Drosophila melanogaster: one gene and its partners. The gene in region 1 interacts genetically with each later gene. Each region holds a gene or a part of one and is shown in the gene's direction. Other genes may lie near its edges.

Region 1 (8,397 bases):
CTGTACTTGCTTTATATCATCATCTGTATTTACAACAACATCCCTTTCACACATGCAAGTGCAAGCAGGAGGACAACCACCACACAGAGACACAAAAAAAAACTAAAAGGTGCACCGTTAAAAAAGTTTAATGTCCCTTTTTTAGTCCTGCAGGCAAATCAAGGTAACTTTTCATGCTTCTCTTCACTTGATCCTTTTTCACGCTTTTCGCTTCTCCTTCTGAACTTCTACACTTCACAGAAACCGACACCGACTGTATATTTTGCTATGTATATTATACACGGACACACACTCACTGGCAAAAAGGACATGCGTTTGGCACAGCCTTCGGGCATTTTATGTTTAATATAAATAAGTAGCGGCAGCACGTTGGAGAATATATATTACGGTTTTCTGCTCTGCTCACGGGAACACTAGTTCTAGTTGGGATCAGTGTGACCAGAGGCGCGCTGCGTGTGCAGCCCAATCAGAAGTCCTGGGCAAACGTTCAAAGCGAGCGCGGGAAATAGGTCCGCAAGCATTGCAAGTATTACCTTTGGATTTAGCAGAAATGCATTAATATTACATTTAGTATTACATTTTATACAGGAAATGGCAGCTACATTTGTGTGTTCAAAGTTGCGTAAATATGAATTCCAATTGGAAAGTTGCCGATAGGTACTTATCGAGTGGAAGCACTATACTATCGATATGGAATAACTTTATTTATTCTAATAAACATTTAAGGAACACCTACTATTTCATTCTAAGCCCCTTTCCAGCCTAATTAAATTTAAATGTATGTTGAAATGATCCAATTTCAATTCTATTTTCCTTTCTGCATAATATTAAGCCATCTATCAACAATATTTCATCATTATAAAAGAAGAGATTAAAACTATCCAAGCAAAGGATTACAACACAATGCATTTTAAACGTACGAAACGAAAGATGTATTTATTTTCGGTACGCTAACGTAGGGCCGACCAAACAATTGAGTTGCGCTACCGAATTAAATATTAATTCCGGAACTCGAATCACGGATTTCAATTTCGGGCTGGGTGCAGACTACGGGCCACATACTTTGGATGTCGGCGGCGAAACGCAGCGCGGAAAAAAATGTGCTTACATGATAATTTTTTGTTTAAAAATAGATTTAACAGTAGGACAGTGACGGAAGCGTCCACGGACTCGGATACCCAGATCCCGGTGTCGGTGTCGATTAAGCGAACAAATCTACAGGTCGCCGCCACCTCGCTTTTGGAGCATCTGAGCGAACCGCTGGGTGATAAGCAGCGACGTGTCGATGAATCGGTCGACGCAGTTGCTCAGGCACGTCTCGGTGGCGTGGTCCAGCTTGGTACTCGGCTTGCCGATGCACTTCTCCCAGCAGATCTCGTTGAACTCGTGTATCTGGCGACGATATAATGTGCGAGGGCATATTGTTATGATTACGAATGGTTATTATGTGTATGGGGGAACCCGGCTCACCTGCGCGTTGACCTGTGCCTTCTGTTTCTCAATCAAGAGGAACTCCTGCAGCTCCTTGTCATTGCCGGAAAGGTTCTCAAAATCGGACATCGTGTGATTTTCAGTGAGCAATCTACAAATTGACCGGGCTCGTCCGGAATTTCATATATTCTAAGGTTTGAGGTTATATAAACGACACTGACAGCTGTGAACTGTGGAATTACAAAAATCGATGTGTATTCGATAGCAAAGCTATTCGATACTGGAAATGCCGTGCATATTGCACTGTTTGCACTGTTGTCATATTTAAATGGCAAGAATATAGACGCCATAGAGCAAATAACAGTATATTTTTTTTTCTTAAGCATCCTCCTCCTGCCAACGAGGGTATACAATTTTCAAGAATACATTTCTAAAGTAAGTTGTTATTTATATTTACTGAGAACTATCGAAAAAGAACTAGAACCTCGCGTTGCCAACCACTGGTTCGCAAGGTGCGATAGTACAGGTTATTGGACAATCGATGACAAAGTGGCTCGGCCGTCGGCCAATCGATATCGTGAGGTGCAAATTGTCCGATGAATTTCACTGAAATTCGTGGCTTGTATTGTAGCTTCGCAATTGCAGCTTCGTTTCGACAGCAGGCCCACTTTCAGATCGAAGGCGTCTATAATCGCCATCCAGTCCCGTCGCCCTGTTCCCACAACGCCCCACAAATTTCGGGATCTAGCTGGCGTTTCGGGTGTCTAATTTCGGACCAGTGCACTGTGATTTCCGATTTCCAGTTTACTTTGCTGACGGATCGCCCAAGTGGCGAAGTGGTTCTTGCTCGGAAAGTTGGCGCTTGCTAAAAGAAGGAGCAGTCCAGGTGGTTCCCCGCCAGTGGCATCAATGGAACTCGCGCTGGAGTTTGGGGCAACCTTGCAACTGCAAGGGTAAGAGCATCGCCGATTCCAGGAGCATTCGCAGTAAGCCCAAAAATAGCAACTCAAGTCAGTCGCGGTGGTCATTGTTATTGGCAAGAAGAAGAGGAAACGGATAGAACGCGGCAAATTCCTAGGAAAGCTCCCATGATCTAGCTTCAGTGCGGCCGCGTAAGGAAACTGCTCCAGCCAAGGAACTGGGCTTGCAGGAGCAGCAGATAGCACCCAGCCCACAAGGGACCACTCACCGACAATCCTCTCATGGCCCTGGCCAACGGGGGAGAGGATAGAATGGACGACAGCAGCAGCGGACGCACTTCGCTGGCGGACAGCGCCAGCCTGACGAACTCCTCGCTGCGCAGCGGCACCTCCTCGCAGAGCATCCACACCAACGATGGCACAATCCGTGTGTTCAACTTCACCACCGGCGAATTTGAGCGTTTCCATCCCAACATGCTGTGCGAGGAGATCTGCAATACGATGTGCCGCCAGCTGGGCATTGCACCAATTGCCCAGCTGCTCTACGGAATACGGGAGCACTCGACATCGCGACGTCCCTCGCCGCTGGTGCGTTTGGATCTGACGTGGTGCCTGCCCGGCGAGCGACTCAACTGCCAGCTGGTCTATTGCTTTCGGATGCGTTTCCGTGTGCCCGAATTGGATAGCCAGCTGGAGTTGATCGATGGACGGAGCCACAAGTTCCTCTACCGCCAAATGCGCTACGATATGCGGACCGAGCAAATCCCGGAGATTCGCTATCCGGAGCACAAGGACAAATCAACGGGACTGGCCGTGATGGATATGCTAATCGACGATCAGGAACAGTCGGAGGATCAGCAGGCGATGCGCTCCATCGAGAAGCTTTACAAACTGTATTTGCCACCGAGCTTGTGGCGCGCCCACAGCTTCTTTGTGGGCTCCAAGATACGTGAGGTTTTCCGCAGTCTAAAAGCGAATTCGCTGAGTGTGGAGCGTTTGAAGTGGCACTATGTGCATCAGGTATCCCATTTGGCGCCCACCTATATGACCGAACAGTTCACCTGCACCGTTCAGTATCTGCCCAACGAGGAGGTGGCCCGCGGTAGCGGACCCATCGGCACCAGTCTGGCCCACTCGACGTCGACGCTGGCCAGTTCTGGATCGACCAACACTCTGTCCACGCTCACCACCAACACCAATTCCGTTGCACTCGGCGGCAGTGGCAAGAAGGCCAAACGACGTTCCACCAGCGGTGGAATCGATGTCTATGTGCGAGTCTTTCCACACGATTCCCTGGAGCCTGGACTCAAGGTGGCCAGGGTCACCTCCGAGGCCACACTCAAGGTACACACTATGTTTCCTTCTGAAATCTTATATGGTTTCTTGTGGTTTTCCCATCGAAATGCGCATTTTAATGCTGGCCATTTTAAATATGGAAATACCATTAATATTATAATATTTAAAAAACATTTTGATAGATTTCTCAATTTAATTAACGCGATTGTCTTGGTAATCAAGTTGCTTATCGCTGGCAAAGATTCTTGAAATATTCATACATACATACCATATGTAATTGCACTAGCATCCCATTGATAATCCTCATTTCCTCTGCAGTGGATCCTTGTTGGCGCCGTGGAAGGAATTTTTATGATCTCCAAAATCAACGACACCTCTGTGCGGCTGGAAATCGTTGGTCTGCCCAAGGGCTACGAGATGCAGTTTCAGACGGAGAAGGAGATGAAGTCCTTCATCTCCTACCTGGGTATCTACATCAGGTGAGTGGTTCACTTGTAATCGGTGAGCTTTAGATCCCAAAGAGTTCGCTTCCAACTAAATTTTAATCTTTTAAGCCGAACTTGCTTGGTCTTTTTTTCACCAGAATTTATAGGCATCTCATTGTAGTGTTCGTGTAACAATAATCAGTGCCCAATGTTCTTAATCAAACTACTCAATTGTTTTTTTTAACATCCATTGATTTAAAAAAAAAAACATCAAGTCATCAATTCCACGAACTCATTTAATAACATAATAATTCCACTTAAAAGTTAATGATTCCCACATAAATATGACATTTGATAACACGATTAAATACAGTGCTTGAAATGCTTGCTTTTTTGTTTAAAGAGTTTGTTAAAACCAAGTCCCTGTTTGTTTTGTAATCCAACACACAAAGTCGGTTTTCGTTATCAGGCTAAAATTAAAACAAGCAAGAAATTTAAAACTAAATGCTTTCAGAAGATTTCTTCAGTTAAATTGATTAAATAATTACGCACTAATCGGTTTTAAATGTTACATTGCTATTTATATCGCCTGCGTCAATGTGCAGTACTTCTCAATAACTCAATAAAGTTATATGTACGTAATTGAAACAATTGATTCCCAGCTATAGAATCACTTTTCAAATGCAATAATAATAATAATAATAATAATAATAACAATGCCAATGGACAGCAACAAATGTGCGCAACTTATAACTCGTATTTGCCATCCGTTTATTCCTTGCAGATTGTCGAGCAAATGGATGCAGGATCTGTGCCATTCGTACCGCACGCCCTCCCTGGAGGAGCTGAGCTCCCTCCACTGCCATGGTCCAATCGGCGGTGCCTACTCGCTGATGAAGCTGCACGAGAACGGTGACAAGTGCGGCAGCTATATTGTGCGTGAATGCGATCGAGAATACAACATATACTACATCGATATCAACACCAAAATGTGAGTACATGCGCGCCTTCACACAGTTATCAGTTACTTCCTCCTCGCTGGTTATCAGGCTTACAAACATTTCTGTATGCAATGCCACATGATACACAAAAATGCTGTGTGCGCTATGTGGCCAATTGTTTCGCTTACTGATGATTGCCTGTGTGTGTGTGTGATTGATGATGCCCAAATTAGATGTGATCGGTTTTATCTCATGCGAAAATCCCGCTCACCTTTGCAGCATGGCCAAGAAAACCGATCAGGAACGCTGCAAGACGGAGACATTTAGGATCGTGCGCAAGGACTCGCAATGGAAGCTAAGCTACAACAACGGCGAGCATGTACTAAACTCACTGCACGAAGTGGCGCACATCATTCAAGCGGATAGTCCCGATCGCTATCGCATACCCGCCTCCAAATATGACAAGCCGCCGCTGCTGCTACTGCTGCTGCCAAAGAACCTCAAGGCCAAAAAGACTGACCTCCAGCTGAGCGAGGCGGAGCTGCAGCGCCGCAATCCGCAGATCTTCAATCCCCGAACGGATCTGCAGTGGTATCCAGGTGGGTCATACTATATATTCTAATGCCTTGCTTCGTTCTAATCGCTCGTCTTTTGCGCAGATTCGATATCGCTTAGCGACGATGGCATGATGTTTACGATGCGCGGCGATTGGATCCAACAGAGTCCCGTCAAGGATGTGTCCGTGACGATGAAAATGCTAAAGAGCGATGGCAATTTCATGGAGTTCTTTCGCTTGGCACAGACCTGGAGCCTCATCCAGTCGCCGCAGTTCCTCAAGCTGTACGGCCTAACGCTCGCCGATCCGTACACAATGGTCATGGAGTATTCGCGGTATGGTCCGCTCAATAAGTTCCTGCACTCGATGCCCAATGTAACACTGCATTGTCTACTGGATCTGATGCATGGATTGGTGCGCGGCATGCACTATTTGGAGGACAACAAGATTATCCACAATTACATACGATGCAGTAATCTGTACGTGACCAAGTACGATCCGAATTCGTACGTGCTAGACGCGAAAATTAGCGATCCCGGCTATCCGCGTCCCTACCGAGAATCCGAGTGAGTAGCCGACAAATACAACTTAATCATCTTCTCGGTTGGGTCATACTCTTTGATAAAACAAAAAAAAAGCAAACAGCATTTTAAATAACATCATTCATTCTCCACTTTCAGCTCGCCATGGATACCTGTTAAGTATTATCGCAATTTGCAAGCAGCCAAAACGGATCAGTTTGCCCAGCTGTGGGCCTTCGCTACCACCATATACGAGATCTTCTCGCGCTGCAAGGAAGATCTGAGCACACTGCGCCAGGAGCAGCTACTCAGGCAGAAAAATCTCGATGGCAACATACTCAAGATGCTCGATCAGGACATCTGTCCGGCGCCGATATTCGAGACAATCATGGATGGATGGTCCGATGATGAGACCAAGCGCTTCAGTCACCACGACATTTTCTCGCGTCTCAACACGATCAAGGCGGAAATTCTGCCCAATTATATGCCGCCACCCGAGATCGCAACGAGTAAGTTGAGCAGACGAAAGCAGCGTTACGAGATTGGCATACATTTCATCTTCTATTTTTTTTTCCAGATGGAACTGGAGACGAGACCGTGATCGATAGAAGCGACATACCCTTTCTACCCTTTCCGCGTTCGAATATGTTGATGGTCATACCGCTGACCAGCGAATGTCGAGTGATCTACAACATGGAGAACATGATCGGGCGCGGTCATTATGGCACTGTCTACAAGGGTCATCTGGAGTTCAACGACAAGGATCAGCCGCGCGAGCAGGTTGCCATCAAGATGCTGAACACCATGCAGGTGTCGACCGATTTTCATCGCGAGATCGGCATCATGCGCACCCTCAGTCATCCGAACATAGTCAAGTTCAAGTATTGGGCTGAGAAGTCGCACTGCATCATTATGGAATATCTGCAATCTGGTTCCTTCGACATTTACCTGCGTTTCACGGCACCCAATCTCAATAATCCACGGCTCGTCAGCTTCGCTTTAGATATTGCAAATGTGAGTGGTTCGAATATGGCTTTAGAACGGAACAAGTTTTCCGGAAAAAAGAGGGAAAACTCAAAGAAAAATCTACAAATATTTTAAGGGTTTTTGCATCATAACTTGGCCAAAAGTGGTCAAATTTCGAAGGGAATGACTGTTTTTAAAAGCTTATGATCCCAATTAACAAATCCTATTTCTTTTTTTTTGAATTTGGTGGATTCAAAATTTTTCCATTTTTTTGAATTTTTTACAAGGGGTAACATCATCAAAATTTGCAAAAAATGGCAAAAAATTAAAAGTTCCCATTTTGAACCCCAATCGATTGGGAATTAAATTACGAGCCAAACGAGGTATAACAATCCATATTTGGGCTACTACTACCCAAGATGTGGCCAAAAAACTGCCCATTTTGGACAAAAAACCACAAAAAAGAACTTTGGTATAGAAAACTCATGTTTACGACTTTAGAAGAGATATTTCCTTTTGATCCAGTACTTAATCCAAATGCTTCTCGTCGCAGGGCATGAAATACTTGTCCGACATGGGACTCATCCACCGCGACCTGGCCGCCCGCAACATTTTGGTGGACCACAACGGCGATGGTGACTGCGTCAAAATCTCAGACTTCGGCCTGGCGCAATTCGCCAATTCCGATGGATATTACTATGCGAAAAGCAAGCGTGATATTCCCATTAGATGGTAAGAAAAAAAGAAGATGGATTGACGGTAGGCCACTATCGCAACTGAATATCTTTGCTTTCCATTGGTCAGGTACTCTCCGGAGGCCATCTCCACCTGCAGATTCTCATCGTATTCGGATGTTTGGAGCTATGGCGTGACGCTCTTCGAAATGTTTTCGCGCGGCGAGGAGCCCAATTTGGTGCCGATCCAGACATCGCAGGAGGATTTCCTCAATCGCCTTCAGAGCGGCGAACGGTGAGTTATCGTGAGATTTGGGTCCATCAACTTGTTGAGTAATTCGAGTAATTCGTTTGCTTACAGCTTAAATCGTCCGGCCAGTTGTCCCGATTTCATTTACGACCTGATGCAGCTGTGCTGGCATGCCACGCCCCGTTCGCGACCCAGTTTCGCGACCATTGTGGACATCATCACAAGGGAGGTGGCCACCAAGGTGACGCACCCGACAGATGGACACCAGTCGCCGCCGAATCAGCCGACGGATGCCGAGTGACTGTTGACAACTGAATGAAATCGATATACACACACAATTAGGCATAAGGTCTTTTAAGATGTTAGCATTTAAACTGTACGTTTTTAAAACAACACAAGCCAGACCCCAAAAACCAC
Region 2 (5,412 bases), on another chromosome or scaffold:
CAGAGCAGTAAAAGTCAGGCTAACATAGAAGTTATTTTTCAAAATTTGAATAACGCGCCAATAAAAATCCCGCAACGCGATCGGCCGTAGTGGCAACGCCGCTGCCACTAAACTCCGACTCTCTCTTTGCGCCGTGTGGCCAGATGATTATGGCCTTTTTTTTTGCTCTTTCATCGCTCTCTCGATTTCGATCTCGTCACAGTGCCACTTGCGATCATTGTGTTACTTTGGAGTCGCTGAAAAATCGCGGGGATCGCATCGAATTGGCCTTGACTGCCGTGGGGTTGAGCTAGCCGTGAAAAAGACCGCAGAACCACGATAAATCTGTCGAAAAAGGTGACAAAAAGGAGGCTATACTGTCTTGCTGGCTGGCGTGCGTGTGTATGTGTGCGGCGGTGTGTGCAATTTTTTTCATCACCATTCCAGTCCGCGTGTGTTTTTCAGTGTGCAATCCCGCTGAGAATTTGCCCGAATCCTGCCCAACAGCAGGTGAGTGATGCCGGCCAATTGGCCCATTCGATTTGCAGCAGGTGCAGGGTTCAAAAGTTCGTGAACTTGCTTTTTAAGCCATTTCCTTTAGACCCCGTTTTCTCCATCGATATTGTAGCAGTCGAAAAGTAATGGAAAAAAAACGTGAGCAGCGACGTCGACGTTTTTGCCTCTTTCTCTCTCTGTTCCCCTGCCCCTCTCGCGCTCTCTTCCGCGCCTTCTCTTTGCGCGCGCAGCTGTCATCGCTGTCAGCAGCGCGCGCCGACGTCGGGTTCCCGCGCGCGGGAAATCATCAAGTTCAATCGATTCTAATTTGGCCGAATTGAACGGGATTTTCGATTTTAGTGAAAAATCAGATTCTGCGAGTTTTGATCTTTCAATTGGTTATAGGCACGCATGGTTTTTCATTTAGCTTACCTGATTTATAAGCGCTCGAAGTTGGTGCCAAAAATGCTCGAATGTTAATCGATGAAAACAACAAAGTGGCAGTGGTTTGTTTGGTTTCAAAGCAGCGTTACCACCTAGTTCGACCTCAGTCATCTTGTCATATGTTATTTGGCTGCAGTTCATAAAAACTACTAGAAAAGCATATTAAACCATGTAATTTCAGGCTTCTGAAGAATAAATAAATAATTAAAATTTTAAAGATTTATGAATACCCTTCAAGATAAATTTATTTTAACCTTGAATTGATTTTGGAGCGCTTTAAAAATATATTAAAAAAAATAGTTTCATATTAAAATTTAAATATTTATTTTCTGAAGGTCATATTTGAATTAAAATTGGCATATGACATAGAAATAAATCTTAGGTATTTATATATAACCACGATATATCCGACTAAATCCGCCCTTCTGGCATCCTCGTCAGCTGTTTTTCGACCACCCAGCTGACTGGACGTCGAACCTCCAATTGTAGTCTGACTAGCCTGTTGGGGACTGGGGACTCCAATTGCAGACTCCATTCAATAAAATGCCAAGCTTGCCACCAGCGGCTTCATCGCCCCGTCTCGCTTTCTCACGCTCTGTTCTTTGCGCTGGAGATGCTCGCCCCATCTCCGTCCCTCCCCTAGAGTACAACAAAGTTGCCCCCTGTGTTTGTTGCATTTTTTGGCGCTTCGGATCCGCCTGTTTTGGCGCGTTCCTCATGCACACTCGCCGCAGTCGACGTCGCTGCTTTTGATACCCAGTTCCACCAATTTTTTTTTCGGTTCCAAAGCGATCACTTTGCTGCCGCCGCTCCGCTGCTCGTGAAGTTTTTTCGTGGCCGGCGACGACGACGACGAAAAACTCTCGAAAAACGTTGTTCAATTCCCTTTAAGAAAAACAAGTGAAAACACCGGGGATATTATGTTAAGCATTTTTCCGCTTACTAGAAGGTAAAACCAATTGCACAATGGTTTTAGTGGATAAAAGGCAATACGTTATTCAGAGTGGAATAAAATTTATGACGCGTGTGCGGTGACAAGTGTGTGTGGAACAGTGAAGGAAAGAGCGGGAGAGAATGCTGCGTTTGCCGTCGTGTCTTTGCATTTTTTGCTACAAATACAACATCCTCTTATAAGAAAATTGACACGCTGTAGGATTTAACCGTTGCTTTCTGATTGGCAAGAGACGGGGTGTCCAACTACAAATTGTCTCCCCCACACAGTGTTTTAGTGTTCCCCCTATAAGGAAAAGTGTCCTATTAGAATTAAACCGTTATCCAATGGGAACAAATTGGAAAATCCTATGAAATAAATGAAAGCTTCTAATCACGTCTAAAAGTGCACTGAGTTTCTAATGCGTAACGGGAGTTCAGTGAACTATTACAGCTTTTCTTACTATAGAAGGCTTGAGATGCAGCTTATGGTTTACCCTGCTGTTTGGGCCAACTTTCTAATCTTTCTCCCGCCCGAATTGCACTTTTTCCCGCCATTCGCATAGATTTTGGGCGGTAAAACAAAACTGCCCCAGCCCAAACGCCTAATTCGCGCCACTTTGCGTTTCTCCATTCTTTTCCCATGCTCATTTCATTTTTATACGCTTCCTCCAATGACACACACACAAGCACAAACTTGGAAGAAATGCGCTCGCTAAGAGAGAGAGTAAGCTCTCTTTCTCTCGCTCTCTTCCGTTTTATTCCAATCAGAACAGCGAGTCAAGTTATTTTCCCCTTCCCAACACCAACAACAAACAAAAACGTTTTAGTACTGCGCTCTAAAACGGAAAAAAAGAGAGCATTTGACTGCGACGTCGAAAAAATTCGGAAAATCGCCGATCAGTCGACGGACCTTTCGAAAACTTGACGAACACGAAGCAGAGGTTCAAAGCAAAATGGAGTAAACGAGTGAAGAACAAAATAATGAATTATGTCAAAAGTGGCGCAAATATCTTTGGTACACGAAGAAAAAGATTGGTAGTGGCATTTAGCCCTTACCCACAATCTACGTACATACATATGTATGTATGTTTACATATGTAGAATTAATAATAGTATTTTAATTATTGTAAAATCGTGGTTATATTTATTTTTGTGAGTAGTTACTCTATGTACGTGCTCCCAACCAATGAGTGAGCGAGATAGACTGCCAAGTGGAGAATGGAGTTCATTGATATTTCTCGGCGTTTTGCTTTCGCTTCCCCTTCGTCTCCACCTTGCTTCGCGCCATCTTCGTTCTTTCCTCTTCTCCTCTGCTTCCATTTACCTGCCACATTCATTTTGTTGTTGTTTTCTTCGCAATTTTTGCTTTCTTCTTTATTTTTTGCATTCTTTTGACGTTTTTTAGTTTGCGTGTTCGCTTTTTGCGCCGTTAAACTTTTGGAGCGATCGCGGCGGGGGTGTGCGTGGGGGGTGGGTGGTGTATTGTTGATGGGGTGGATTTTTGTATACTTAATTTTTCGATTATGTCATGATCGTGCCGAAAATCAGCCGCTTATGTTTAGATTTGGCCAGTTTAAACCATGGGGAAATAAATTGTTTTTCTTAGAAGTGATTTTGAAAAAAGTAAGAGCATCAAGTTTTTGATGATTCAGTGTCGTGAATTTTGTATATTTTCCCAACATTTTCTTTTGTTTGACCCACCTAAACACTCCTTATATGATCTATTCAAATCCTAGTCAACACCTTTCAATTCTGCTCATGATCCTCCAAGTGCTTGCCACCTTCGAAAGCGGTATGTCATCAAAGGATTTTCTAGACGAGATGGGAACCCAAACTGATCTCGAATATTTTCTCATCATATGTACATACATACGTAAATGGTTATAGGAATCCACACATATCAACTGGCCATATTAACCCGAATTCCTAGTAAAATACCAACAATATTTCTCAATTACAAGTGCGGAATGTTTTACAAATATTACATGTTCTCCAAAAGGATGAGTTGTGAATAGTAACTCCTTAAATAAATGGTTCATATGTACATATGTATGTATATGTGGGCATTTTTTTTTTATAGTCCATACACATTTTTGTCGCTGCGGCAGAAGAATCCGATTCGGAATCGGAATGAGGTGAAGCCGTATGTATGAGGAGCAGAAACAACAATGATAAACAGTTTCCAGTTATTCCCAGACAAACAAAGGATAGTCCGTCCGACTGGCGATTTGTGGAGCGGGGAAGAGACAGGACGCAGGCCACTTGAGCTAGCTGACTCGCTGTGGGCATCCTTTTAGACGCTGCTAAATATAAACTAAATAGTCAATTGAGCGCGTCCCGATGTCCTAACGGCTACTTCAAGGCCATCGATTCTTGGAACTGGAACGCCGCCGTCGCCATCGCCGCCGCTGCCGCTCCATTCAAGAACTTTGATTTGTTCTCCTCCATCGGCTGGGCCGACTTTACTTTCACACGCCGTTTTGCCCAGGCGGCGCTCTTTAGATACCCGGCACACAGATACTCAGATACTCGGACTCACAGATACACTGATGCGCGCAGGCGAGGATCGACTTTCCTGTTCTCGTTTGCAGTACCCTGTAGTTCTGGGTAGGGTGGGCATATGCGACTGAAGCAACACAGCAAACTTGGGCCAATTGACCATTAGAATTTAAACGCATTCATGAGTATGAAAAGGAAGCATCAAAGATCGGGTTCAATTCAATGATGCTTATAAAGCAATCTTCGTGTATTGGTTTAAACTTTTAGTAGTATTATTTATAGTTTCATATTATGCAAATATGATTAGGCTTTCGATTTGAGAAAATATCTTCCTAATGAACTTCACCCTCTTACCCTATCAGCATTATGTAGCTATGTTGTTACACAACTCCTGCAGACTTTCGGTCCACCGAGTTCCAACTAATTGCAAGAGTGGTGGCCAAACCACAACAATGGAGAGGAGGCGGCATTGGCATGGACAACGCCACAAATGCCCAGATGCATGTGCATTTTTATCTCGAGTATCTCAGGAATGTATCTCGCCGCATGTGCAGAGGAGCCCAAAATGCAGCCCAAAAAGGACGCACAAAAATTGCAGGCCCAGACAGTTGAAGACGCCGGATAACTCGAGACCTGTTTTCCCTCTACATATGTACATATGTATATAGTCTGGCATATACTCGAGATACATACATATTTGTATATAATTTTTTTTGCGCTCTTCTTTGCGCATTTTGCGCATTCTTCTTTGCATTGCCTCAAGTTGCATTTCATATTGTATCTCGAGACTTGGTCCCATTTCCTTGTGGGAAATCTTCCGCACAAAGCAAATATTCCGAAGATGAGGGAAAAAAATACGGTCGACTTTATTTTCGACACTCGGTTTTCCAGTTAAATGACCTTGAAGGACCCCGTCCAGGTAAACAGATTCACTCATGCATCGTACACCTTTAATTAGGCGCTGTGCGCAAAGGAAACCCCCGAGTTTATCCGCTCGATCCGCGGCATTATTCATATTTGTATACCTGTCGCCGCGGATTTCGCCCGAACTCGCAGCCTTCT
Region 3 (5,403 bases), on another chromosome or scaffold:
CAGACCATTTCAATGAACTGCTGTTTTCGAGTGATTTACAATGTTTGATCAAAAAATCGAATCAAATTAATCTTGCTCTTTTCGTTAAGTAATTGGATCAATTTTTAACGAAAGTTTGGATCCAGAGACCACCGAAGAATCTAATGATTTGTTAGGAATAATAATAAAATAAATAGGTGTACAGACTTAGCATTTTTACCTTAAGATTTTTACAGAATAGAATGGAAGTACAAATTGGAAAATCAGGCCAGCTATTTAAAATTGTAAAGCCAAAATGAAATCGTAGTAGGCGAACACATCATATTCAATCTATTTTCATAAAAATATTTAGTTTAGCTCGATTCGGCATCGTCGGCAGTCCTATATCAACTAGAAAATATTTGGATTCAAAAAAAAAATTTTATTTTTATTTTTTTTAATATTCGTTGAAAATAAATGCAAGTATTAAAAATTATTACTATTACACAAAATGCTTAGAACAAAATTTATTGATTTTGAAATATTGTTTGGTTATATAGTTATTTATCGTTTATTTCAATAGAGATTCTAGTTCATTTGGTTATTGTGGAGCAAACATATGCAACGCAGTGAAGATGTTATCACAAGATGGTATTTCCGAGCCAATGGATCTTTGAGGCAGAGGCTTGTAAATATTTGTACATTCTGATCATATTTAATGAGATTCCAAACCTTTAGCTAGATGGTATCTTCAGCAATTTCCACCGAGCAGCTTGGACAATTAATATGTAGTTTATGGATCCTCTTTCAATGAATTTAGTATGCCCAAACTCGAAGGAGTTTCACCTCCATAAGAGCGACAGTCCTGGAGAAGTTATCAGAGCCAAAAAAATTCATATGATGATGCATTTTCCGTCTCTGAAAACGTCTTCAGCAGAAGTTGTTTTTAGCGAAGTGAAACTCATTCGATTTTGATCATACTAACGACATTGGATGCTTGGATCGGCAGTTTGGTGGAATATAAATACCAAGACCCTAAGACTGATGACGTACCTGCTAATGAAGATGATGGAGATATACTTGCATGCCAATTCAATAAGTTATAAGCACCCAATATAATAAAATTCAAATATTTATATTAAATACAAATATCCATCTTTAATTTTATTTTTGGTTCTCATCTTGGCAACAATAAATGTTGCTAAGCATTTTGCTTTCAACTTTCGCGTGAGCTGAATCGGTAAATTGAGCGAACCGGGAATCAAATGTTGCTAACGAAATGCTTACAAGCCGGTATCCAACTGGTATCTGAAACTGCTAGCAAAACGGGGAATCAAATGTTGCTAACGTAAACGAATTGAATTGATTTGTTTTATTTTAGATATAAAAATAAAAGTAGAATATCTAGAAATAAAAAATCCGAATTTTGAAGATTATTTAGAGACAATCTTGGAAATTTGTACAAATAAACACCCGTCCGGTTGAAGTTAAACAATATAATAAATTCTTATATCAAAATAAACTTGGTAATGTATATTGAAATTTTAAATAGTTTTTAAAATGTGTAAGTTGACTATTTATTCAAAACGGTTTGTTGCATTGCATCTGCTGAAATGCACTAATTTTGCCACGGAACTCGTTTTGAGAGCGAAAGAGAGAAATGAGAGAGCGAGTACGTTTCGTGGTATTTTTTAGTACGATTCGCGGCGGTGAAGGTGAATAGTGTTTTGGTCGTGGACATGAACGGCATTACGTTTTTCAACTCGGCCGCGCGAATAACTCGAAAAAGGCAGCTCCGCAGCCAAGGCATTTTGAAAAACACAAGTCCCCGACTCGAAACGCGACCAAATATTCGGTGTGTGACGCGAACTGCCAATGCAATAGTTCACTTAAGAATTGCAGATTACCGCGACTCTGGGCAGTTCTCATTCGATATTTGAATGTACCAAAAGAAAAGTGCCAGAACCAGAAATCAAAATAAAAGATCTTCTAACAGAATAACAAGAAGTGTTTCCTCCGAAAGATTAAAAAATCGCGAATGATTAAGAATCGCGGCACCGTTAGTTCCCTCTCTCGCTTTTCCCTTTTGCGCTTTTCTGCGTGAAAAGGAGAAGACTCCGCAGTTCGCGAAAAGAGCTTTTATTTCGCGACACTTAAAAATAAACACAGTCGAGGAAATTGCAACAAAAAATGTGGCGCGTGCACGTGTAGCTTGCAACAACGACAACAAGAAAACAACGAAAATGCTAAAAGCGAATTGCAAAACCATGTGCGACAAGTAACCAAAAAAAAAATTCAAAACATAAACACAATAAACAATTTGAGTAGTTGCCGCACACACACACACACACACACAGCCCGTGGATTATTACACTAAAAGCGACACTCAATCCAAAAAATCAGCAACAAAAACATCAATAAACATGCATTGGATTAAATGTTTATTAACAGCATTCATTTGCTTCACAGTCATCGTGCAGGTGAGTTTCAGTCCCAGGAAAAGCGCTCATTTTCCATCCAACAAGTTGTATTTTTTGGCAATTTATTTTCTTTATTTCTACGCGCACGCGTGCACTCACCGCTGAATTTTGCAGCTGGTGTGTTGTGCGCGCATGTGTGTGTGTGGGGCCAAAAGGGAAGAAACGATTGAAGGGTTGCCAGGTTACTAAATATTTTAAAACTTTTGGGGTTCCGTATGATCATCTCAAAATATCTATTTTGAAACCACTCCAACATCGCGTTTGCTTCCAAACTTATTTTTCAAGCTGGTAACCCGAGAACTTTTGGGTAGAAACAGCTGAGTTGATATTTTAAGCGGGTTGGCTTTTAGGGGTGGAAATTGTGGATCGGATCGTATCACCCTTTTCGGAACATGCATACATATTTCATAGAGCAAAACTAGTTTGGAAACATGCGAGGCCAATGCCCAAACAGGTCCATCCCCAAAAAATGGTTTAATTCTAGTACACAGCGGAAAAATATGAGGCATACGTTAGAAGAAATACCTTCAAGATAATTTTTGACATGCAGATCAGTTCAACTTCTTAGAAATCCTACTATGTGTACTAATTGTTCTCCGTGTAAAAACAGAGATGATCCAAGTCTGCCTCAACGTCAAAATTTACCACCAACGGCGTATGCATCCAGAGCAGCAGCAAAAAATGATAAAACTGCTCGATTTCAATATGAGGCTATATAGTAATGCTGTGCTACAAGCCCATGCTAAAAAGTTGATGATGCTGGGCAACATCTGCCGTTTTCGCCGTCATCTCCTCCTCTGTCCCTCCGCTTTGCATGCGCTTTTTACATGCGATTTTTTTCGGTTTACTTTTCGCTCTGCGTAGGTCAACGCGACACATGCTCAGCCTCACTTGCTCTCCCCTCCTTGCGTTGTTTCTCTTCTGTCATGCTTTCATTGATCTTTAACGCCAGCATCCCCTGGTTACACGGATAAAAAAAAGAGTTGTGCAGGGTTTCCAAACAGTGCGATCTCTAGAAAATAACACTAAATATTTTGTTGTTAATGTGTGGGTTAGTTTCAAAGATAAGAAAATATTAAATTATAATAAATCTTGACCATACATAGTATGTGTACATAGTATACATTTCATAGTTCAGAACTATTTAGCTACGAAGAAATTACAACTTAGATCCACAATATTAAGCTGATAGGGAGCTCTTTATTGATAATAGTACCCATTTACTCACCGTGCACCCTGCATGTGCTCCAATCCTCTACCGCTCTCCGCACTTCTTGATTTTCTCCCAACTTTGGCACGTTGCGTGCTTAAACTTCACTCTTCGACCAGCTTCTTTTTGCAGTCTGCTATTTAGTCGCTAATTTTAACAACGTCCCAAAAAAGTGTCTCGACGCCAACCTCCTGGGGTCTTGGGACTGCTGAAAATGCTCCCCGTATGTAGGCAGAAACATCTGCCCAATAATTCTGACTCATTTCCTTACTTACTTACAGGGAAAGGTGGAATAGTTTAATTTGTCATTTAAAATAATATCTCGGGCAATTAGCTTGCCATTAGCAATGCAATTTAATTCAATTTTCTGCCCATTCTATAAGGTATTATTCTCACAATTTCTTGGCCCTTTCTTGTCCCATGCTGCGTTTAAATTTCAATTTAACTATCAAATAACCGTAGTCGCCTTGTTTTCGCATTTATGCAATTTTCATATTAACATTGAGCGTCGAAGAAGTGAGTGAGTGAGCGAGTGAGTGAATGAATGAATGAATGAATGAAGACTGGGACTCGTGGGGGAGCACTCGTAGTCTTCTCGGCTCTGCTCTTTCTTCGCATAACATAATTAATTGCAATTTAGAAGCCAAAGAGGAAGACGACGACTACTCCCACACAATGCGATGGATGATTCACTTGCGCTTGTAACTGTTTCCCAAGCCCGTTGTTAACGGTTGATTATGATGATGAATTTAAATGATTAATAAACAACATGCAGGGTAGGGGCACCAAAGCAAACACCTGTAGGAAAGTCGAGGAAAAGTCGGGGAAAATTATAATAAAAATGCGTGCTTTCATACATTTTTATGTCCCCTTGTGTTGTTTTAACTTCTTCCCTGCTTTTTTTTCTACAACAACTGTCTGTCAGTCAAGGCAAGTTGACGTGGAAATGGCAAAAAATGAAAAGAAACGAAGAACTAACTAACTAGTCGCTTCAAGCCTCAGTGATCGCAGTAAAAATAGGAGTAGTGGCCAGTAAAGAGAAAGAAAACGAGAAACGGAGACAAAGAATGGCTCAAGCAAAAGGTAAACAATGCAACGCACTATTTTCTAACACTTTAACAAGTGTCTGTCTTCCATTTGAGAGGTTGGCAGCTCCAGCTTTCAAGTTCCACCTGGCGAAACCCCCTCGTAGATCCCCCCCACAAGTTTTACCTTTCGGTTATTCAGCCGCTGTGGAGTTCATAGTTGAAGGCAAAGGCAAACAAAAAGCGGAAGGAGAACCATTACCAGTGTACATATGCCAAAGTTATGAGGCGGATTGTGCAAGGTGTAACTGAGCATTCAACATTTTGGAATTACGATAAAAACAGTCGGAAAAGTTAGATCAAAGAGAAATATATTATATATTTTACGTTATTAGAACGAAAGTTATGTTTTTTAAATGCTAATTCATCATATTATCTACTACTTGTCCCTTTAAGAGCTTGCTAATACTAACCGCATACTTGGAGGGACTTTAAAACAGTGTGAGAAACTATAACCAAAATTGGTGTCAAATGGTGGACAAAACTATTGTGGTTTTAACGATTGCACTTTTTGTTTTGTTTTGCTTGTGCTTCCCACCATCTTTAGAGTGTGTGTGAATGTTTGTTTGGTGTTATGCAAATTGATTTGCTTGTTGTTTTGTCTTGCTTTTTTTGTGTTGTATATGTTGTGTCAACTTCTGCGCCTTTGTTTGTGTGTGCGCTTTTCGTT
Region 4 (5,401 bases), on another chromosome or scaffold:
TTGTAGTTTATACACCATTTAGCTAAACAGTGTGAAATACTATTAGCTAACACTCACAGATCTTTAAAGTAAATACCGCAATGGTTTTCGGGAAAAGTGCTGCCCCCTTTGAGCTCAGTTCCAATTCCCATTCTTTTTCCAATTTCTTTGGCTCGAGTATTCTCTGAAGTGTCCGTAACTTTACGCTAAAAATATTGCCCATAAATCTCCTGACCCGGCTGTGTGCCAATAAAAGCCTTCGTAAACAACTAACCTAAGGCAATGATTCTCCGGACGAAGGGCGGCCACTATGTGGCAACCACTAAACCACCAGAAACCACTAACCGCAAACAGCCACCACAACGGCAGCAGGAGGAGTGAAAAATTAAAAAAGAAAAACGAGGAGGCGGAAAAAACACTTGAAAAATCTGTCATAAAATGTTGAGTGGTGTAAAACCAACTGGTTGAAATTGCCAACATATTTGCCTGTTTGTTTAATGAACTCGCCCAACGAGGGTTTTTTTGGTTTGAGGGGGTGAACCTTTGTCAAGAGGGTGGGTTTAACATTTTGATTACTCAATATGTTTGATTTTATGGATTTATGCCACCGCTCTGGTCCACTTTTGCAGCTGTTACATGTGACAGTAAAACCAAAAAACACAAAAACACTTGGCCGGAAAACGAAAGCTAATCCCAAAAAAGAAATGCCATCAAACCCGAACAAGTGTCCAACAAGCCGCCAACACAGAGTGCCCCCAAATTATGAGAGACGCGCACAAAGACACCTGTAAGTCGTTGTCTGCTATTAGTTGAAATCAAAACGAAAACAATGTAAGCCACAGTGAGCAAAAATAATATCTCTGGGGAGCACCAGCTCGAAGTCTCTGGAGGCTGATGGCTGAAGGCTGTAGTCTGCTGGCCACCAACGCAAAGCTGGTCGTCGCCTTTTAGCCAATTTTGATATAACTGAAAGCGTCAATTATACGTGAAATTTATGATGCCGTGTGAAGAATAACACCAACTTGCAACATATTTGGACAACGAAGCCGTTGCCATTGCCGCTGGCAGTTGCCTTTGCCGTTGCCGTCTCGGTGGCCCGTACAATTGCCGCTCTGGGGTCTCTTGTCGCAGATATGTAAGCTGATAATGGGCATTGTAGTGCAGTTTTTCTTCCATTTCTTCTGTTTTTTTTTTCTTCTTTTTTTTTAAGCGAGAAAAGATGACAAAGGAGCTGGGAGACCGCTGCCCAGTACGCCCACCAAATAGAGGAGGATGGAGACCCAAATGGCCAGGGAGACGGCTAGAGAAGACATTTTGGGCACACACCAAGTCAATTTGTTTTATCTATTGTCGAACAAGAGTCATGTCACAACGGCACAATGAGATTTACTATGTGTTGTTGCAGTTGTTGAGGCAGCAGCAGTTGTTGCTGCTGCTGTTGTTGCTGTGGTGGGCAGACAATGGAAAATCAGCAACATGATTCGATATTTAGATATGCGCCTCAAGAAATATGAGCCGCTAACAACAACAGTAAGGTAGGCAGCAGCAACAACAAAGATGCTGCCGCCTGTCTTGTTGGCCGCATGTAATTGCCAAGTTTGTTGCTTAAGTCTTTTGTTTTGGCTGCACTGATAGGCCAGTTGCATTTAAATTTGATTTATACACTTTTGGCCAGCAGATAATTGGATGGAAGTCGCCGCTCTGTCTGTGTGGTTAATAATTGGCCGATGCTAGTATCTTTCGATTTGGTTCCCAGCCGTTAAAGATTGTGGGAGCGTTCCTTCATATTAGGTGTTAATTGCCAGTCCCTTGGAGCTACTAGATCTGGAGCACACACACACATACACACACAGCCCCAGAATGCACTTATTGGCATAATTAAGTTGGAATCGTAAAAAACGGCAGCCGAGAGCCTCGGGCGCGCATGCGTGCAGCAGCCGAAGCGGCAGCAACTCCATTAACTGCCGATTCTGATTCAGATTCCGGGCCCCGGGGCTATATACAGTCGTACGACCAATCAGCGGCTGGCTAAAGAGCACTGCACGAAGAGCAAACTGGTTTTCTTCAAAGAGAAGCACAGAGAGAATCGCTGCGAGTTAAGCTCTCGGGATCGACGGCAACTTGTGCCCAGAGGCAATCAGTCGTTAGTCGAAGCCTGAAGCGCACGCAGCACTCAGCGGAAGTCGTCGCCAGTTTATTTTGAAAGCGGTTTCGGTGGTTCAGACCGAGCCACAGTTCTCTTAAGACTGCAGATCACCACCACCACCACCACCACCAGCAGCAGCAGCGACAGCTCACCTCACCACCTTTACCACCACCAAAACCGCAGCTCTCTCGCGTGACTTGCTCCGCCCCGTGAATGGATGCTGCTCGAGGGCTGGAAATGCCGCAGGATTCGGTTAACGCGTTTAGTCGAGCGCCGTGCTTCGAGCGGTGATGAGCCCCTTTTCTGTCAACGGTAAAACCCCTCCTCGAATTGGATTATTGTGCACCCAAACTGAACGCCACCGACCATCATCCATATAACAATTGTGAAAGTGTTTAATGTGCCGCAATCGAATTAAATTGCTTGCTGATTACAACAAATGATGAAGAGCAATCAACTACAAATGCTCGGTGGAAGAAAAGCAAATCGAAAGATCGACAATCAGCCGACATTTTGCTATGTGTGTGTTTCCATAGTGTGTGATTAATTTCTGAGCCCAGATCGTGTGAGCTAAGGAAAACGGAAATACCTTTCAATTAAATACAATACATTAATATATCAAAATACAATGCCGTCAAAATTGTGTTTAATCAAAGGCGAAAAGTAAAAGTGCAAACAATGTGAATATGCGAAAACGAGTGCCCCATTCCGGGGGAATCGCTGGCCACAGTGTGCTCCATTGATAACGCACACAGGGACGCAAAACAGGGACACAAACACACGAAGCTACAACTACGAAGTGGAATTGAAACATGCCAAGTGAAAGGGAGAAAGAATGAAAACATCCGACTAGTTCATAATGCACGCAGATAATACAAATAATAATAATAATGGGCGCACATAGAGAAATTTCCACTAGAACTTAATAAGTGGGATTCCCAAACAACCTATTGAAAGTATTTGACTTTCTAAAAGCGATGCTTAACACGGATTTTTTTTTCTAAATTTAAAGAATTTTGAATTGAATAACAAATGTTTTATTAGAAAGTTAAAGAACTTTCCGTATAGATGAAGTAGTGTAGTTTTCTTCTGTGCACCGGGAGAAAAGAGAGATTGTGAAATCAGTTTGGTTCTGAATGGGTGGTACGAGCATGGGAAAGCCCCTGATCAAGAGAGCGCGGAAAATGCTCGATGCACTGCTCAATGATTTACCATATGCAACGAATAACGGATCTAGCACGGTCCAAAGCTTATTCAGATCGTTAAGTTCAAGACGGTGATCTGGTTGCACAATTATTTGATAAATCAGAGTATATCCAGAAGTTACTAGAAATAGAAATGGATACACGGTATACTAAAGTTTTGAGGCCGCTAGAAGTTCATTCATCGTTTTGCAAATTGCCAAGAGAGAAGAGTGAAAGTAGCGGTATTAGGGGGTATTAAGGGGGAGGTAGCTGCATCATCCACTTGCAAAAGCCACTTCCGGTCATGCCCTGCAGCAGCAGCAACATCCACATCAGCGGCAGCAGCAGCAGCAGCATGAGCAAGAGCGGCAGCATCTGGGTTTCGATTCAAAGTCAACGACTTCCGTTCCGTGCCAAAGCCGGGAGGAGGCCCCAAGCAAATTACTTAATTAAATGGACAATTAACACCCGAGCAGGAGGAACCGGGGCGGGCTGGGGGGCTAAAGGCCATGGGAGGATAGGATGGCCGGAATGGCAAAAGCAGCGGCAGGGTGGGAAGAATGAGTAATGTGAGCAAGAGTGAAAATATCTGTAAATTAATATGCGCACAAGATGCAAATTGTTTGTGGCCAAAGACACGGCTCCATAGTCGCAGCAGCAGCAACTGCAGAAGCAGCCACATCAGCAGCGGCAGTAACAGCGTTAAATTAACATAAATTGAATTGCATTTGCATTTGCTGCACGTTGCCGCTTTTTGCGGTCTGGCAAAAGTAAATGTTGCTGCGGTGGCTGGTGGCACTTGTTGCGGCTTGCTGCGGTTGCCGCTACTGCAACTGCAACTGCAGCAGCAGCAGCATCATCTGCGTGTCAATTAGCGTTGATGATGCACAGTGAAATAGATTTTGCGCAGCCCGTTTCAATTCCAATTCGTTCGACAATTGTTACAGCTAAAGATCTACAAAACATCAGCGCCTATCAAGTGGAAGTGTCAAGTGTGAACAAAACAAAAACGAGAGAAGCACATACTAAGGTCCATATAAATAATAAATAATAATTGTGTGTGATAACAACATTATCCAAACAAAACCAAACAAAACGAAGGCAAAGTGGAGAAAATGATACAGCATCCAGAGTACGGCCAGTTATTCAGCTATCCAGAGCAAGTGTAGTGTGGCAAAATAGAAACAAACAAAGGCACCAAAATCTGCATACATGGGCTAATTAAGGCTGCCCAGCGAATTTACATTTGTGTGGTGCCAATCCAGAGTGAATCCGAAACAAACTCCATCTAGATCGCCAACCAGCATCACGCTCGCAAACGCCCCCAGAATGTACAAAATGTTTAGGAAACATTTTCGGCGAAAACCAGCTACGTCGTCGTCGTTGGAGTCAACAATAGAATCAGCAGACAGCCTGGGAATGTCCAAGAAGACGGCGACAAAAAGGCAGCGTCCGAGGCATCGGGTACCCAAAATCGCGACCCTGCCATCGACGATCCGCGATTGTCGATCATTAAAGTCTGCCTGCAACTTAATTGCTTTAATTTTAATACTGTTAGTCCATAAGGTAAGCAAACCAACCAACATGCAAAAAACGATCGAATCCCCAAAGCAATAATCGCAAAAAGCCCCAGATCCAAATACATGCGGGTGTAGTGTCTCGTCAAAAAGGCCAAAAGAAAACAGACAAAGTTGATTCAACCCATGCGAATTGGCAATGGCTGAGGGCAAAGTTTTGATGGGGGACGTAAATAATGATGATTTTTGGGTTTATTTTTTTGAGTGATTTATCAACTCCGCATCCCGAAGAGCTGTCTTTAATGAGAGCTCTTACGCTGGAATTTTCTCAAAGCAGTAAATCAAGCATATGTCAATAAACAAGATTCGTAGAACGCGTTAAAAAAACAGAAATCATTTACAGTCTTAAGTTATTTAATAAGATTGAAAATGCTGAGATTAAAATAGAGGATATATTTTCCCTGTTCAATTAATGTATCCATTACGTTTTAAAATATCAACAAATCTACCAGCATTTTGATAACTGCACTTAGTCAAAATATTCCCCAAGTTTTAACCATTAAACTGGCATTTAA

Evidence for each region.
Region 2: of hop (region 1) and CycE, changing one suppresses a phenotype caused by changing the other (phenotypic suppression), as found in Drosophila melanogaster (2 studies listed by BioGRID).
Region 3: of hop (region 1) and Delta, changing one suppresses a phenotype caused by changing the other (phenotypic suppression), as found in Drosophila melanogaster (one study listed by BioGRID).
Region 4: of hop (region 1) and Ser, changing one suppresses a phenotype caused by changing the other (phenotypic suppression), as found in Drosophila melanogaster (one study listed by BioGRID).

The regions. Positions count from the first base shown.
Region 1 is NC_004354.4:11,361,699-11,370,095, reverse strand, and holds the start of hop (hopscotch), read left to right. Parts: upstream 1-1,997; 5' UTR 1,998-2,633; coding exon 2,634-3,695; intron 3,696-3,965; coding exon 3,966-4,126; intron 4,127-4,856; coding exon 4,857-5,063; intron 5,064-5,292; coding exon 5,293-5,612; intron 5,613-5,672; coding exon 5,673-6,135; intron 6,136-6,249; coding exon 6,250-6,599; intron 6,600-6,667; coding exon 6,668-7,104; intron 7,105-7,609; coding exon 7,610-7,788; intron 7,789-7,860; coding exon 7,861-8,025; intron 8,026-8,091; coding exon 8,092-8,281; 3' UTR 8,282-8,397. Other genes in the region: Tim8, read right to left, coding at 1,216-1,392, 1,471-1,560. UniProt on the Drosophila melanogaster protein: Tyrosine kinase of the non-receptor type, phosphorylates the marelle protein. Required maternally for the establishment of the normal array of embryonic segments: involved in the control of pair-rule gene transcription in a stripe-specific manner.
Region 2 is NT_033779.5:15,742,910-15,748,321, reverse strand, and holds the start of CycE (cyclin E), read left to right. Parts: upstream 1-1,711; 5' UTR 1,712-1,838; coding exon 1,839-1,867; exon of another isoform or gene 1,868-2,065; intron 2,066-2,678; exon of another isoform or gene 2,679-2,930; intron 2,931-5,412. UniProt on the Drosophila melanogaster protein: Essential for the control of the cell cycle at the G1/S (start) transition. Targeted by archipelago for degradation by the SFC ubiquitin ligase complex.
Region 3 is NT_033777.3:19,322,517-19,327,919, reverse strand, and holds the start of Delta (delta), read left to right. Parts: upstream 1-1,702; 5' UTR 1,703-2,381; coding exon 2,382-2,438; intron 2,439-5,403. UniProt on the Drosophila melanogaster protein: Acts as a ligand for Notch (N) receptor. Essential for proper differentiation of ectoderm. Delta is required for the correct separation of neural and epidermal cell lineages.
Region 4 is NT_033777.3:27,190,980-27,196,380, reverse strand, and holds the start of Ser (serrate), read left to right. Parts: upstream 1-2,113; 5' UTR 2,114-2,437; intron 2,438-4,256; 5' UTR 4,257-4,638; coding exon 4,639-4,875; intron 4,876-5,401.